2 linked regions of the Rattus norvegicus genome follow. The protein of the gene in region 1 purifies or fractionates together with the protein of each later gene. This does not show direct contact. Links are inferred from orthologs where the notes say so. Each region holds a gene or a part of one and is shown on either strand. Other genes may lie near its edges.

Region 1 (9,767 bases):
TGGAAAGGAGACATGGGTGGGTAGCAGGGTTGGGGTGGAGTGGGGTAAGGACCGGCATTCCACCATGGTTGAAGTTTCTCACCAGTTGAGAGTTCTGAATTCTGGGACAGTTGACAAAATGTGCTTGAAGGCTGCCTACATAGAGAAAATAATCTTTTTATATAGCCGTATTCCAAATAATGTTAATCAAGGTTATGTGTATGTGTGTATTTGATCTTCAAGTGTGGCCTTACTTCTTGACCAGATAGGAACCTGTAATATTCTGGGAATCTCATAGTAAAAATATATTGTCTCTAGCGACAGTCCAGTATGTAAGAGACTACGGTATGACCTGTTGAAGTTCCCTAGAGTTGGAAACCCTTGAGTTGGAAACTCAAAAACCACCAAAATCAGACTGATGGGCTACTGTAGAGACTTAGATGTCCCTCAATCCCTGGGACCCAGATAGTAGAAGGCAAGAAGTTCTCTGATTTCCACATGCACCCACACAAATACATATGTTCATTAAGTAAAAATGTAAACTTGGGCTGTCTTTGATCTTTGCCCCAGTGCTTCTGACACCGACTATGCTCAGGCTGGCACCTGGTTTAAATGCCATTAGATAGGGAAATTGTACATGGGATGTTAGTGGGTCCCTTGGGTGAATGCCCCCTCTCCCACAACTGTCCTAGAAAGCTGAAAGATGGACATGCCATGGGCTGACAGTAATATTTGCAAGAGGCAGTGTGCCATGCTGCTTGGACCCAGTTGTCAGTGACATTTCGTAGGGACAAAGGGCCATGCCTGTGAATCACAAGGTCAGAATAGCTCAGGAAGGCAGCAGGTTTGACTTCAGATCCAGACACTGGGCTGTTGGGGAACAAACAGAAAATAATCCTCAAGGCAAATGCCTTGACCAGGCCTACTGGCATGCTCTCATGGCCCTAGATTGTTCTTTCAGATGGGTTTAGAAGAGTGAGCCTGACCAGAGAGGACCTCTGTCCTGATCGTCACCATCTGCCCTCTGTTTCTCCTGCTAGTGGTGGATTCAACAGCTAGGCTTCTTCCACAGAACAGGCCTCTAGTAGTGGACACTGGGGAGGGACAGGATGGAGTGGCCCCAAGCCATTTCCCCAAACATGCTGTAACACCTCTTTCCCTGTCTCTTGCACTGAACACACAAGCACTGGTCCAGGTCTGAATGCAGTGTACAGGGCTGCCACTTCATCTAGCTAGCTCACCTGTGTCAACTCAGGATGCTCCCTACGCCAGGGAGCTGGGTCTAGTGGTACGTTTATGGTGACCCAACTGCCCTGACTAGAAGTGGCTGATGTAGGCCAGCTTGGAGTGCCACAGCAGGCCAGTTCTCATTGCCTGGGACCCTGCAGATGGCAGGGGGGCGGTTTCAGTCACAGGCAGTAGTCAAGATGGTCTGACATTTCACTGTGCTCATCCACCCAACAGCTGGACTTGGCTATGGAGGATAATAGGTAGCGGCCAGGTAGGCAGGAGTTGGGGGTGGGTGTCCTAAGAGTCTCTGATGAAGGCTCATAACCTTACTGCATCCAGCGATGCCAAGAAGTCATCTTAAGTGTACCCTATGGTTATGAGTTCTAGAGTGGGGGACCCTTTCCTCTGTAGGAAGAATTTAAAAACCAACTTGTTTTAGTAGCAAATCACACAACTCCCAAGATAGTTTTTTAATGCTTTAATATCCTGCAAATGAAAATGTGCTTCAGCCATCAGGCCACTGGCTTTTCAGCCTGATGGCTGTTCCTTTGTTCCACCCCCTTATTTGGTCTTTTCCAAGTTACTAAAATTACAAAAATAACCGCTAAAAATTCTCTGTATCTGGCATATAAAAACAGCCAGACGTATCTCAGTAGTTACCTTAAAACAAAACAGCTCAAAAAAACACATCACAGGTTTAACTTCTGCAGTATTTTTCTTCATACAAAACACTAGTAAAATAGGCTTCTTAAAAATTAAATAGTGAAATACCAACTAAATTATATACACTATTACAGTACAAGTGAATGAGGCAAAATATCCAGTTCTATTTCCCAGATGGGGGAGGCCTTCTGTGCACAGTGTGTGCTGTGTGAACTCCAAAGACACCTTCTCTGGATGCCAGTGCACAATGGAGTCTTACAGGAAAAGCAGATGCAAAGACTGGGCACCCAGGGAGGATGCCTGGCTCCTGAGGACAGTGAGGGTGACGTCTTATTGCTTGCTGACTCTTGGTCCTCTGGCCCACGCACCTGCTCTTCTCCACACACTGTGGGCATAAGGGAACTGACCAGGAGAAAGCAAGAGGCTGGCTCAGAGGCTTCACCATCCAGCAGAGTGGACACCGGTCTTGCTGGCCTTTTGGACCAATCAAGTGCTCTGGAGGTCTGATGACACAGCGGAAGCCCCACTAGCATCTCTGCTGGATGGCCACATTCACCCAGGGACCTGAGGACAGGCAGCTGGAGCATCTCTTGGCCACCTGGGGCTGAGGTGTCTATGTGCGGCGCCTCTTGGCAGCACTGGGGCTGGAGGGATTGCTGTTGGCAGTCAGGACCTTGTCAGTGACCCGGCTGCGCTTCCGCTTGTCTGCCCCTTCTTTGCACCCCAAGTCTGAGGAGTTCTTCTCTTTGTCTTTGCTGGATTTTTCTAATGCTTTCCCCAAGCTCCCTGAAGATGAAAAAACTGGGAAACAAAATCATTTGGCTGAAAACAGAATATCCAGAAACTCATCTCATTTTCCTCTTCAGCTAGAGAAACCAGGCGTTCGGACCCAGTATGTTCCCCGGGTAAGTGCCCTGTACAGCTGGGCTCGAAGAGAAACCGAGTCTCTCAGGGGGTCTCCTGTCTAAGCCCACCCAATGCCCCCAGCCTTGGCCTCGGCCCCTTCCTCATGGCTCTCAGAGGCCCCCAGCCTTGGCCTCGGCCCCTTCCTCATGGCTCTCAGAGGCCCTCCCACACTGAGTTCATCTGAAAGGGATGCTTCGCTCCTGACTCTCAGCTTCCTGACCTCACTCTGCCTGAGGCTGGCCCGTGGTGGTGACGGCTCCAGAAGGCACTTCCACTCACCGTCATCAGCCCCACTGTGGGGGTCCACATCCTCCTTCATCTCCTCCTTCATTTCTTCTTCAATGACCACTTTTCCTGTGGAGGAGACAGCTGCCGTTCACTGGAAACCCACGGTGGTGGCCAGCGCTGGGGGACGGTCTGGCCAGGACTGCTTCCGACTCTCGCTGCCCACACAGGCCTCGGCGTCCATCGTAAGACGGCATCCATCAGGAGACTGCCTTTGAGCACCGCTCGCCCCAGCCCTCGGCTCCCCAAACCTCCCAGGCGCCACTGGAGGCGTGGTCTGAGCAGGGTCCTTACACCTCCCTGGAGGCCCCAGACCTCCCCACCTTTGGCCTGGTGAGGCTTTTTTTATTCCCAGCCCTGGTGGTGGCTGAGTCTCACCTTCTCGGACTTCCTGAATGATCTCATCGGGAAGGACAAAGTTCCTCTCTGGATTTGGGAATGGCAGAATCTCAGACTCGTGCTGCCGGCACAAAGCGTTTTGTATTTTCAAGAAACAGAAAACAGGGTCTCCGCTCACTAAGCTGTACGGAGGAGCAGGCTGGAGGCTGCGAGCTGGTGGGGCTCCTTGCTCCAGCTTGCAGAGTCCACCTCAGCTGGGCTTCTCAGATGACTAGGGAGGGCCAGGCTAGCACCAGCCAAACCAAACCAGAGGAGAGGACCAGGTTCATGCCACCGAGAGAGCCCTGGAGTCATAGCAGCTCCCCTGATGTGCTCACAAGGACCTGACCTGTTCACCATTGTAACACTCCCACCAGGACAATGTATCCAGGGGCGCCATGACCAACCACAGGCCCCTACAGCCCCACCCATCCTGGTTACGTAGTCTCACTGCCTGCCAGACACTGCAGACAAACCTGACTAGCAAGGTTACTAGTTACCTACACACGAGTCAGACACTGCCAGCTCTCCAAACCAGTTACCTAGCTACCCTCTCTGCTCTCAGAAGAGGAACAGTCTAGCTCCCACAGTATACAGATTCTCAAAGGACCCCAATACCGACACTGCACCCTATTACTGCCTTTTACGGTGGCTGAGGCTTCTCTATCATCTCAGCGCCCAACTATCTCCTTGACACTTTGTGCCACCAATCTAAAGTAGGTGTCCTGAGAAAGTGGTTAGTGAATCCCTAGTTTGTGCTTTTCAAGGCAGGATTGAGGAAGGAGCCTCATCTTTTGAGATCTTTGCATACCAAACCCCAAGTGAGAAGAGGGCTCTGTCCTGTACCACAGAGGACTCTGGGAAGGCAGCATCCGGGACTTGACTCCACCTTCAGCCCCCAAATGAGTGGGCCAGGGTCCACTCACCAGTGCCTGCATGTCGTACATAGTGCTCAAATGGTCCCAGATCACCTTGGATGGAACCTGGCGCCCAATATTCTGGCTGAACTTGTCTCGGATACAAATCATGTGGAAGTGTCGATTCACCCCTGAGAGGCAGGACAGTGGGTTGAGGGTTAGGATAGCACCTCTGTGCAGAGGACATGGGTGTAGGAGGGGCAGGAGTGTGCAAACCACAGGTGCAAGTGTTGCAGGAGTCAAGTGTCAAAGGGGACGAAGGGTGCCACAAGGCAGGTGGTTAGGGTGTATAGTAGGCGGGTCCTGGGCAGAGGGGCTGCAGAGGCGGGGAGAATGGAGGCGTTCCCTGGGGTAGGACTGTCTCAAGGGCAGGGAAGTCAGGAGTGTCCCCTGGGAGAGGGCTTCTCGGGAAGGAAAGTCATGGTCTCTTGGACTAACAGGGCACCCCAGAGTGGGAGGTCCCGCCCGTGCGGGGTCGCAGGCTCCGCCAGCCCGCCCGACGGTTTATCCCGCCCCACCCCCACGCCGGTGCGCGGCGCGGCGCTCACCGACAGGCTTGTGGCCCAGCATGGCGTGGAAGAGGCACACTTCCACTTCAGGGCTCCACACCACCGTCTCCTCAGCAGGGCTCGGGGCTGCCTCGCCTGGGCCCTTATCGCCTGGGGCGCCCGTGCCGCCTACCTCGGCCTCCCCCATGGCCGCCGGCGAGCGACGAGCGCCCGGCGCGAGAAAGGCTACTACAGGCTCCGCGCAGGCGCACTTGGTGTGGAGGGCGCGCACTCGCAGGGCTCGGGAACGCCGCGTGCCCGGGTCCGCGCAGGCGCAACGAAGGCTGGCTTCCGGTGCAGCAGCGACTCCTGGTGGTTGGCCCTTTTACTGCCTACGACTCTGTCCCGAGAGGAGCAGGAACAAACCTCATGCTTTAAAAATGCACCAGCTGGGCCTTCAGAGAGGGAGAGGCGAGCGGATCTCTCTGAGTTCTGAGTCAGCCAATTCGGCATAGCATGACACACACGGCCCAAAAAAAATCTGGGCTTCACCTGAGTAGATAACTTGGAAAAGACTCAGGCTGCACAGCTAGAAGTGTGTCTCCCTTTGCCAGTGATAAATTGTGCAGTATGTAAATTACACATCACGAAAACTGTTTAAGAAAAAATAGCTAAAAAACAACAAACAAACAAACAAAAAACCCAGGGGCTAGTGAGATGGTCCGTCCATAGAGATTCTTGTGCACAGACTTGGTAACTGGAGCTCCACCCCTGGATCCTAGAGGGGGCAGGAGAGAAGCAATTCTTAAGAGTTCTACTCTAGGGCTGGAGAGATGGCTTGGCAGAATGATAACTGCTCTTTCAGAGGTCCTGAGTTCAATTCCCCGCAACCACATGGTGGCTCACGACCATCTAGACCATCTATAATGGAATCTGATGCCCTCTTCTGGTGTGTCTGAAGATAGCTACAGTGTATTCATATAAATAAGTTTTTTTTTAAGTTGTATCTAACCTTTATATGTATACCATGGTATACTCACACTTTTGCACGCATGCGCGCGCGCGCGCGCACGCACGCGCACACACACACACACACACACACACACACACACCATAATTAAAGACTTTAAAACCCAACAACCACATTTAGTAGCCCTGGCCTGGGTGCAAATGACAGTTTCAGAATTAAGTGCTTCATTGGCATCAAAAGACAGAAACCTGGGCCCTGTTGGCCTTACCACCCCCATCTTGTCCCTACAGTGGAGGCTGTCAGAATTTCAGGCAGGTGTTAGTATCTCTACATGGGATTGGGTAGGGTCAAGTGCTAGGCACAGCAGCCTTAAGAACATGGTCCCTACTGGTCTGAGTCACCCCAGTCAGCTGTACCATGACCCCTACCCTGCCACCCATCCAAGCTTTTTTACTCACCTGACCCTCAGCCACGGGCAGGCATCAGAATCCCTTTCCTGACTGATGTCTCTCAGCTGTGTGACTAAGATGTCAAGAACCTTTGTAAGACCACGTTCTTCTCTGTGCTATGGGGCCACTGTAGCTCTGAACTCTGGGGTATTGATAAGAGCCATCTGCTGGCTACCGCAAGCTTTGAATCCAGTCCTGGCCCTCCACTTGCCCCTCACTCAGGCCTGCAACCAGATAATGCTCACAACAGGGGACTGTGGAGGGTTTCCCTTGTGTAACCCTCAGCCTCATCCATTCTAGCCAGTTCTCTCTGTTCTGTGTGACCTCTGTACACGGCAGTTTGCAAACATCTGTCCGTCATTTCAGAGATCTCTTGGGAACGTGTGGCTGGCAATCAGACTTGATCCCTATGGACAGGTTAGATGGTATAGGAGAGAAGAATGGCTTCATTCTTTCCACGAAGCCACAGCCCGTTTCTCTGCCAGGTAATAGGAAGTGTCTGAGCACGGAGGTCAGGAGCTAAGACTCTGCTCACTATCTCATGCCAACTGTAGCATGACACTGTTCATTTTCACGAGCATGTAGGCTCTACAGTCCAAACCCACGAATTAAGAGGAAGCTGTGCTTGTTCATTTTGTAGCTCTCCTGCGACTGTCGCTCTCTAACAAGGAGCTGTAGAGAAACCACTGGCCCATGATCATGTGTGTGCTCCTGCAGCTTCAAACTGAATTCACACCTGCTGGGAGCTGAGAGATTCCTTCAAACCTGACAGAAGGGTTTCTTTGGCCTGGGGCAGGTGTCTGTGAGGCACACCACCAACTTGTTGTAGAAGTCGCTGGTGACGTTTACTCAGATCTGTCTTCTCTGTGAGGTCTTCAGGTTGGTTCCAGGCGGCCAGGATAGGATTGGCTTCGCAGCAAGGTTTCCTACTTCCCAGATACAAAGTGGACAGTGATATCCAGTAGCCAACTGGTCAACTCTTTCCTCATTTGCTGGGACTTCTGCTGCATGAGTCTTTTATACAAGATGGATACGAGTGCTAGGATTCTTGATCCCAGGGTGAAGAGTTCAGACTGGGCCCCAGTGAAAAGTAAAGGCTCTAGAAAGGCTGTCCCTCATTTAACGGATACACAAGCCTTATCGTTTACTTTGGCCAGTATGAACTATTCCCCAGACATTCTCAACCAACTGATATTTCTTTTTATTTACTCAGTTGCTTATTCAGGGTCTTATGTATCCCAGGTTGGCCTCAAACTCACTCTGTAGCCAAAGATTACCTTGAACTCCCATCCCCAGTCCTCCACCTCCTAAGTGCTTGGATAACAGGTATCTGCTAGTACATATGCTGGGGACTGAACCCAGGACTTCATACATGCTAGGGAAGAGCCCTACCAACTGAGGTGCGTCTCCGGCCTCCTAAACAGTATTGCTTGTCTGAGGACCTGATGTCTCGGGAAGGAGATGGTCACTACTAACTAGAAGGAGCCCATTCCCACTCCGGAAGGAACATTTAGCTCTTGGTCACAAGAACTGGATCCAATGGGAGGCGTATTTGTAAAGGCTCTGGTTAGGTGCCATCCTGAGACCTTTGGTCACATTGTCTCTTTGCAGACTGCATCTCTGAAGTGGTGAAATTTCCCACAGTGTGACTGGCCCCACGTTGCTCCCTTAGCACGTGTGGGAGACCGAGGGCTCTGGACAACAAGTTCTGCTTTGGAGTCAGTCAGCCTGCTGTGGATCCTGTTCAACTGTGTTCACCCGATGGGAACAGGCCATCCTCCGGACAACATCCGAACACCGAGAACAGCTCTGCTGTCTTCTCCTGTGGGCTGTGGAGCATTAGAAACTGGGAGCCTAGAACTAAGCAGCTGTCAGGCAGGACCCTTGGGTTTCCAATTCAGGTACAGTATTTCCCTACAAGGATTGCGGCTAGGTTGGACACCCATGCCCTGACTAACATAGCTTAGCTCCACCCCCTCTGCCTTCCTGTTTATGGTAAGTTGGTGTGATTAAGGACCTAGGTGATTATCTCCATTTTCCTTAAGGCTGCTTGTTGTCTTCTAAAGTTATGGGCTTCGCTGGACCTACAAAGGCCTCCGGGTGAGGACCTGCTGCAGCCAGGCTGCTAAGTCTTGCCTGTAGGGGGCAGTGCTCACCAACTCTTCGGATGCAAACCTGCACTCAGCTGTGAAATCCACACCAGCAAGACCCGAGGGAAGACGCACTCCTGAGCCACTTCGGGGTTTTCACAGGAGCCAGCTCTTCAGAAGGGGCCTAGGAAGGATTGCTGTGATACCCAGAAGGCACGTGTTTCTGGGCTCTGGCTCGGTGTGTTTATTTTAGAGGATCAGATTCCAGGATCACCCTGAGACATACTACCCCAGGGCAGTATTGTTCTTAAAGGTCATGTGGGGTGGAGCTGGGGCTCAGCTGAAGCTCACCATCTTCGCTTTTTTAGTTTTGGGAAAGACGAGATTCACGAGCCACACCTGACTGGCAGGACCTTTGTCCAGCTGGTGAGCAGTGACTCGGAGATCTGAGAAACTCCGCCCAGCTGAGGGATGAGGGAGAGTCTCTTTGCTCACAAGCCAGTGGTGGCATCTGTCAATGAGTATTGTGTCACCAAACTTTTCAAGAAACCTTAAAAGTGATGCCCCTACTTGCCTCTGGAGGATGGGGGAACCGAGGCACGGGAATGTTGGGTATCTGCTATTCTGGGTGAGGGAGGCAGGTTTCACAATGGGACCCAGAACATCAGCTGTTCCTTGCTCTGGAAGTGGTGAGCCCGGAATTGTCCTCTACACTTTCTGACTGGATGACTCCCCTTTTCTCTGTCCCCAGGAAGTTCTGCTTTCCTGTGGATAGAGAGGTTTAGAATGGCCAAGGCAATGGGAGTGGGATTGAGGTTAGCAGTCTTCCCTGGAAGGAGCCTGCATAGGAAGATGTTCTGGCTGGGATGGAGCTGGTAGCTTGGCATTTGACTCTCAGACAGTGTGTGGGCAGCTGCTCCTGGACTCAGGCCCTTCCTCTTGGCTTCTCAGGGTCTCTGTCTCTTGGCCTCTCGTCGTCTGTTTCTTGATCTTAGAGTGTTTATTCATGTTGGCTTTGAACGTGACTCATGACTCAGCCAAATGTCAGCAACATCTCTGCCTGCAGGGCTGCTTCCTCCTCCTCCTCTTCTGTGAGATTAAGGTTTTCTGTTGTGTGATGGAGAGAGCCATTATTCTCAGCTCAGATCCCTGGGGCCCTGGGCAATTATGATTTCAGAGCACTAGAGAATACTAATGCAGCTATCTCTCCCTCCATGGCGGCTATGCCTGTGTTACTAAGAATTTCAGTCTCAAGGAGTTCCAATGTGACCAAGAAGGGCTGAATGTATCTTTAAAAGGTTCGACATGGTGCCCATTAATCCAGTTTTCAGAGGCCAGCTCTGCTCTCTCTATGGACCAATGAAAGTAACAGCCAGTGTTCTCTTTGTAGGAGCAATTCTTTGTACAGACAT
Region 2 (7,895 bases), on another chromosome or scaffold:
TTCAGAAGACTTGATGGGGTGATGACATTTCAACTAGCAGAGCACTTCTAGGCAGTCAGGTGGGCATGTTTGAGAACGGCGGGCTGAAGCACAAGGAGTGTTGGTAATAGGTGCTCTGGTACCGGGTACGGCTAAACTCTGTTGTTGCTTTGAGTTGTGGGGTTTTTTTTGGGGGGGGGGGTGGTTTTTTTGTTTGGGGCTTGGGGGGGTTGGGTTTTTTTTTTGGTTTGTTTGTTTGAGTTGTGGTTTTTTGGTTTTGTTTGTTTGGGGGTTTTGGTTTTTTTGTTTGTTTGCTTGCTTGCTTTTTAAGTAACTTTTACTCAGACAGGAAAGGACTCTTTAAGAAGCCTTCACTGTCAGGTGGCTGTGATATTGCTTTCTTTTTTCTTCCCCTTCCCCACTTTCTTTTCAAATTGACAAAGGAAAAGAATAAAGAAACAGGTTTCCTTTTTAAAGTTGCACACACTTTTGGGGGTAATAAATGAACATTTTTTTGTTTGTCTTTTTTAGAACTGAGCTCTCCATAGACACACATAAGTAGCATAACACAGTGTCTGTCCTCAGGCTTCACTCTGTACAGTAATCAGCATTACTCCGTTCTTATTGACTGGATTTTGTCCAGGTGGGTTAACTGGGTGGGGAAAGTTCATTAACCTTAACCCTGGGACTTCTTTTCTTCCTGTTAAACTTGAAAGATGAGTTCTCCTGTTTAAGTATTAAACTATTGGATTTACTTTTTATGTAGAGGAAAGTTTTATAATGACTGGAATAAGAAGCTATGTAGACTTTAGTGTTTGTACACAGCTGTTGGGACGGCCTGAGCCTTGGCATGGCGATCTGGACAAAATAGAAGCGGAATGCTGGTTACCAGGTTTCACCTCATGTGCAGTGCAAAGGGCATCTCCAAGCTCGTGGACTGAGAGCCCAAGAGCACTTTCTGTGCTGTCCAGCACAGTGTCACACACAGCTGAGAAAAGCAGTGGTTTTTCTTGAAGTTGAAGCCACTTTGGTTAGATGTGGCAGAAGATGCTGGTTTCTGTCTGGAATGATCTCTAGCAGCATCATTTCTATCCAAATGCCTCCACTTTGCACAAAAACACCTTTTTCTTATGCTGGACTTTTGTAGTGTTGTAAGGTGTCTGTGGCATCTGCATCTTTGTGAACCGCCTCCTTGTTTTATGTTCAGCATTTACAGCCGAGCAGTACCAGCAGCACCAGCAGCAACTGGCACTCATGCAGCAGCAGCAGCTTGCACAAACTCAGCAGCAGCAAGCAAATAGCAGTTCCTCCACCGCCGCTCCACAGGTGAGGGGCTTGTGTGTCTTATGATTATCCCTCATTGTTTCCCACCAGAGTTCATCTCTCATTACCAAGGGTTGTCATAGAACCTTGCATCTAACCAGCAGACACGTGGCTCTGGCCTGAATGTACAGGGTTTAGAAAGAACACTCCAGGTGAGTATGGAAGCCGTTCCCTCTGCTGCTGTTATACAGAGTAACTTAAGAACGTAGCTCTCTAAGTTGTAAAGTAGCTTCATTCTGACGGGTCTGTAATGTACTGTCCTCATCGCAAAGCCCCATGCAGCTGATGTTCCAGTTCCAGAGTTAACCCAAAACCATCTGTTCTGCTCTTAAGTATGGAAAGATACTTGCTGTATAGATAGACTTGGGGCTGAACGGCTGAGAATTGAGTCCTTCCAAGCATTTAAAGGAAATTTCATTTTTGAAGATGCGAGAGGCCTTTTCATTTTTAAATTATGATGTCAGATCTTTTTTTAATTAAGGGATGGTTGTCTTACTATTGAAAGGTGCTTCTGGGTGGACAGTGGGTGGATATTAGCACTGAGGGTGGGTAGGAAGAATGGTGTTTGGAGATTAAATGAAAGAAGTTACGTATTTGCCTTAATGGATTTGTCCAGGACTGAACTACCTGAGAAAATTGAAACTTTCTGCTGCTGTTGTATTCTGCACTAATAGGCTTATTTTTGTAATTGCTTTGTATATATTCTGTATTATCATAGGAAGATCAAAATGTGTAAACCTTTAAGTTAGACAATTAACTATAGCTATGAAAATGAAGTAGATTTCATTGGTTTGCTGCTTTTAGAGCTGTGAAGCTGATTCTGGTGACCTGTGTAGTGACACTGACTGACTCTGGTGACCTGTGTAGTAACACTGACTGACTCTGGTGACCTGTGTAGTGATGCTGACCGACTCTGGTGACCTGTATAGTGACGCTGACCGACTCTGGTGACCTGTGTAGTGACGCTGACTGACTCTGGTGACCTGTGTAGTGACATTGACTGACTCTGGTGACCTGTGTAGTGACGCTGACTGACTCTGGTGACCTGTGTAGTGATGCTGACTGACTCTGGTGACCTGTGTAGTGACGCTGACTGACTCTGGTGACCTGTGTAGTGACATTGACTGACTCTGGTGACCTGTGTAGTGACGCTGACTGACTCTGGTGACCTGTGTGTAGTGACGCTGACTGACTCTGGTGACCTGTGTAGTGAGGCTGACTGACTAGTGACTCTGTGCAGTGATGCTGACCGACTCTGGTGACCTGTGTACTGATGCTGACTGACTCTGGTGACCTGTGTAGTGACGCTGACTGACTCTGGTGACCTGTGTGTAGTGACGCTGACTGACTCTGGTGACCTGTGTAGTGACGCTGACTGACTCTGGTGACCTGTGTAGTGAGGCCGACCGACTTTGATCACCTGTGGTACTGACTGATACTTCAAGACAATTACACTGATGACTTTTGTGTTTTCCTTTCAGGGTTTTGTTTCTAAGACGTTGGATTCTGCCAGTGCACAGTTCGCTGCTTCTGCTTTAATGACGTCAGAACAGCTGATGGGATTCAAGATGAAGGATGATGTGGTGCTTGGGATTGGGGTGAATGGCGTCCTTCCCGCCTCAGGTGAGGAGAAAGACCCAGTTATATTCACATGCATACATGTTTGTACACATTGTGATTTAGCCGCAGAGTGCAGTGTTTACATGCTTTCTTCCTCTCCCTAGGAGTATACAAGGGCTTGCACCTCAGCAGCACTACACCAACGGCGCTTGTACATACGAGTCCTTCGACCGCAGGTTCAACCTTGTTACAGCCTTCAAATATTACACAGACTTCGGGTTCCCACAGCGCACTGAGTCACCAAGTAACTGCTGCCAACTCTGCAACAACTCAGGTTCTGTTTGGGAACAACATCCGATTAACTGTCCCCTCATCTGTCCCCACTGTCAACTCTATCGCCCCAATAAACGCACGGCATATACCTAGGACTTTAAGTGCTGTTCCGCCATCTGCCTTAAAGCTGGCTGCTGCAGCAAACTGTCAAGTTTCCAAGGTCCCCTCCTCATCCTCTGTAGATTCAGTTCCAAGGTGAGTAGTTCTTTGAAGATTAAATGTCTGAAATGTAAACACCTAACTTGCCTCCTGAAGTGGCTATCCACCTAAGTCTTCTCTTCTTTTCCTTTTGTGTATTGAATATATATGGATATATATATATGAATACATGAATGAACCTTCGCTTACTCAAGAACTAAGCAAGCGGATGTAATAATTCAGTGTTGGTTGAATTCAGTCTTAAGACCAGGCCAGTCCACTCACTGGGACAGTCAGTGTTGCTTCTGGGGCCCGGACCTCCCCTAATTGAGCAGTAGCCTCGAGTGTCGTCACTCTTGTGTGGCTTTGGTGGAGGGAGGCCTCTTTAGGTGCTGTCATGCTGTTGATGGATCTCATCGGTGGCTTACTGTGGGGTAGACTTGGTAAAGCCTCCTTCGCCAGTCTGCTCGCTACTCATTGTGGAAATGCTGGCAGGCCTGCTGACATCTAATAAGCCGTGGCTTTCTCTGCTCACTGACCTTCTTGATTTCAGGAGTTTAAGGTTTTTGTCAAGGTTCCATTTTAACTATAACTATTAATTTAACTCTGTATTAACTAATTAAAATCCTATTGCTACAAAGTACTAGGAGAAAAGAAACAAAGACCTGCATTATTCAGATTAGCAAGAAATAAGCTTAAAACATGAATGTGGGTGTTAAAACAGTGCAGGTAATAGACAGAAGCCCTTCTAGGTTTGTCTCAGATCAGCGTGTGTTGCCCAGTTCATTGTATTGACAGTTGCTCTTGTTTTAAAACCGAATTGTGTGTTCTATGAAATATCAGACCCCACTTGATTGGGTGAAGAGAATGTGTATCATAAGTTTGAGTGGGCAAAGCAGAAATAAAAATTGGAGAAGATGGTGCTTAGCGGTTAACATTGCTGCCTAGAAGGCCAGTGCTATGCTTAGACCAACACTGAGACTTCAGCAGAGAGCGTTCGGGAGAGCAGCTGTGCAGGAGCTCACTTTGCACACCCACAGGCCCTGTCTACATTTATCTGTTCAGTACCAGGAACGCATTGTTGGTCTGATCATGGCTGATCAGTGGACTAGTTCTCCTCTTCCACATCACCAATCATGACTTTCATTGCTGTAGAACATGACAAATATGGGGACATTTACAGTAGATGGGACTTCTCATATCCCTGTCTTTACCCAGTGTTCCAGTCCTGTGTCTGTCTCACTTAGTGATGTTGATTGAGACCTAGATTTAAAGTCCCATCGTGAATTTTGGACATATTTGTGTCTGTGCTGGGTTGTTAAGAATTTTGGACATATTTGTGTCTGTGCTGGATGATTGTTAAGAATTTTGGACATATTTGTGTCTGTGCTGGATGATTGTTAAGAATTTTGGACATATTTGTGTCTGTGCTGGATGATTGTTAAGAATTTTGGACATATTTGTGTCTGTGCTGGATTGTTAAGAATTGTGGAGATATTTGTGTCTGTGCTGGATGATTGTTAAGAAAAGCTTTGGGTTGGGAGGAGGAGCTCCTCCGTGGGCAGAGGCGCTTGCCGTCAAGCCTGACAGCCCGCGTTGGTCCGTTGTATCGTGTGGTGGAAGAAGAGAAGCAGTCCTGCAGCTTGCCTCTGACTACACAACGTAATTGTGTAAAGGCCGAAAAAGAGTTCAGGGCCAAAGAGAACTACTCAGTGCTTGCCAGTACACGCAGGAGCAGCTGAGTTCATAATCCACATTTTTAAAGAAGCTTCACGTGTTGAGTGCATGACCCTACATTGTGGGGGTTACAGGAAAGGAAGGGATCAACTCCATGAACTTCAGCTTCTCTCAGAAATTAAGGTGAAGACGGATAGAAGTGACACTCGCCATCCACTTGTGGCCTCCATGTGCACGCACATGTGTGTACACACTCACACACATCCCAAAACGATGATAAAGGTTTGGGGCTAACATGATGGCTCCATGGGTAAAGGCCCTTGCCACCAAACCCATCAAGCTACGCTTGATCCCAGAACCTATGTGGTGGAAGAAAAGAACTGACTCCCAAAAGTTGAGCTGAGATACTCGAGTGAGCACACGTGTGTATGCACATATGTACTAAGTAAGTAGATAAGCGTAAGAAGGGAAGTCGGCTGTGGAAGGGAGCTGCTGTAACTGTCAGAGCTTGAGACGTTTCGGTGTTGAGTGTGTCTGTATCTTTGGGTCACTTGAGTTCTTGGACAGTGTTTTGGCAGTTGGCATGGAGTTGACTGTTGACCCCTGATATACTTGATTTCTACTTGCCTGTTTTTCATAATTACGAAAATTCCTAATCCTTCGTCCCCTTGCCCCATAAGTGACCTTTCTTCCTGCTGTTAAAGATAACTAAGGCTTTTAAAGGAAGGACGGCCTTCACTGGCTCAGCTCGTACATGACCATTGACTAACGGAACTTTTATCCCAACAGGGAAAATCATGAATCAGAAAAGCCAGCACTGAACAACATAGCAGACAACACAGTAGCAATGGAGGTGACGTAGCTTCCTGGGAGCAGGACTGCATCCTGGGGACATGGTCAGGTGCTATGCATCAGAGCGTTGGAACGCAGGGAGGATGGAGTGCGTAGGCGGTTCCGTGGCAGCTGTGGGGACTCGGCAGCACTGCGCACCTCTCGTGCTTCAACCTTTCTTTTCTTATTGTTAATAGGAAAAAATCAACATCTGTAAATTAAGAATACAGCAATTATCTGTACAGTACTGCATATTTGTAATACCCTTGTATATATGTTACTTGAATACAGAACTGTTCATTTGTGATGCTTTGCACTTGGGGGCGGGGGGTGGGGGGTAACTGCAACAAGAGTGTGAGCTGTGAGATTGTGTAGCTGGTGTCATCACATCATGTGCATGGTGCGGAACCTGCTGTCTCTATTTATTGTGCCGTGTTTACAGGTTTTGTACACTGTACCCTCATTGGTTCCTGTGCTGTAGTAAATGTGTTAGGTAGCTGTGGACTCCTTGGTATTTTGTAAATGGTATAACATAACTTGGTTCCCTCTGGGTCCTTGAGTTTTCTGTGTATCATGTGAAAAAAAAAATGGTGACATACATACAGAATTTTACAAAAAAAAAAAAGGCATCAGTTTTTTAAAACGGGGAATGTACTGTTCAATGGGGATCTTCCTGGTCTACTAGCATTAGGATGCGCAACAAGCTAAAAATGAAGTCTCTTGAATTCTCCCATCCCCGCCTGCCTGCAAGCTTGGGCAGCCCTGGTACTTAAAGCACTAATGTTATGTTGCTGCCCTACAAACAGCCCAGTCGTCCCATTTCCTTCCACACCAAAAAGTGTTAAATCAAGTACACAAACGGAGTCCTTACAACTGGAGTTTATGTTGTCTTGCCCTTTTTTTAGCACAAAAAGATGTACTTTTATATTGTGGAATTGTTTAAAGACTTCATTCTTTACTTGTTCTTACAGAAAGGATATAGGGGAGAAGAATGCTGTCCGTGTATCGTCATTCCAGTTTGTAAAACAGCCAGCCAGCTTTTTCCTTTTAAGATTCTCCAGAAGGCTGCGAGGCCAGAACCACAAATATCGGGTGCCTTCCTTTGGAAATATTTGACCTCTCTTCTGTGAAGAGAATGGTACTTACCAGACTACTACTGCTTTGTTAGTACCGAAGTCTGAATGCCCAGTCCAATGGCAGACATATGTTATCCTTAAGGTTTTTAATCCCACCTGGAAACATTGTGATAGAATTCTCACAAAATAAACCCAGGGCATTACATGTTGACAAACTAACGTGCAGTGGTCTCTGCCTTTTGTTTTCAACCCCAGAACTTTGTGTGACTTTGTTGTTTGAGTAAGGGGCTTGGTTAGAAATGGGAAGGGAGAACTTCATGTTTTCAGTGATTATTTTGATGTGTCTGTCTTCAGCAGTGAAAGAAATCCCTCGCTTGATTAATAATCTCATGGAGGTGAGAGTAAATGAGATGTAAAATGTAGTGTGACTAATGGGAAGGGAAAGTCAGGCTCGGTGAACGAGTGTAGAGAGCCAAGGATGTTCCCAGTCAGACTGGGTCAGAGACTTGAGCAGCAGAAGCAGTCAGGCAGAGAGGAGCATTGACGCAGGGACCAGGGAGTAGAATATAGGGACGACAGCAGAGTATGGCACAGAGGACTCTGACTTTCTGTACAGAACGGAACTTGGAGCAGAAGAGTCCCACTCTGCCTCAGTATCCAGACTAGTCTTCAGGGGCAACTCCCAGTAGTAGATGACCCCAGTGACCCCAGGGTAGTGTGAAGTATTTGGCTCTGTCTCTGTTTAGAAGCCATTAGAAGTTGCTTACAGGCCAGGCCTGGTGGCAGTAATCCCAGCAGAGGCAGGTGGATCTCTGAGTTGAAGGCCAGCCTGGTCTACAGTGAGTTCTAGGACAGCCCAGGATATGTACAGAAACCCTGTTTCTAAAAAAGAAAGAAGTTAATGCATCTGTTTAGTAAGGCACATGAGAAGAAAGGGTTAAGAAAGCTCCAAAGGAGCAGTGAGGACCAGAGTTCAAT

Evidence for each region.
Region 2: the proteins of Mrgbp (region 1) and Epc1 purify together in Homo sapiens (affinity purification with mass spectrometry; 6 studies listed by BioGRID and IntAct, counting the BioPlex papers as one, with this or other methods). This does not show direct contact. The link is inferred for Rattus norvegicus from reciprocal best matches to the Homo sapiens genes MRGBP and EPC1.

The regions. Positions count from the first base shown.
Region 1 is NC_086021.1:188,070,068-188,079,834, reverse strand, and holds Mrgbp (MRG/MORF4L-binding protein), read right to left. Parts: upstream 5,081-9,767; 5' UTR 5,055-5,080; coding exon 4,907-5,054; intron 4,490-4,906; coding exon 4,368-4,489; intron 3,524-4,367; coding exon 3,442-3,523; coding exon of another isoform or gene 3,133-3,441; coding exon 3,058-3,132; coding exon of another isoform or gene 2,837-3,057; exon of another isoform or gene 2,674-2,836; coding exon 2,486-2,673; 3' UTR 1,673-2,485; downstream 1-1,672.
Region 2 is NC_086035.1:59,197,754-59,205,648, reverse strand, and holds the end of Epc1 (enhancer of polycomb homolog 1), read left to right. Parts: intron 1-510; exon of another isoform or gene 511-622; intron 623-1,186; coding exon 1,187-1,305; intron 1,306-1,385; coding exon of another isoform or gene 1,386-1,454; intron 1,455-2,783; coding exon 2,784-2,925; intron 2,926-3,026; coding exon 3,027-3,390; intron 3,391-5,799; coding exon 5,800-5,872; 3' UTR 5,873-7,136; downstream 7,137-7,895. UniProt on the Homo sapiens protein: Component of the NuA4 histone acetyltransferase (HAT) complex, a multiprotein complex involved in transcriptional activation of select genes principally by acetylation of nucleosomal histones H4 and H2A.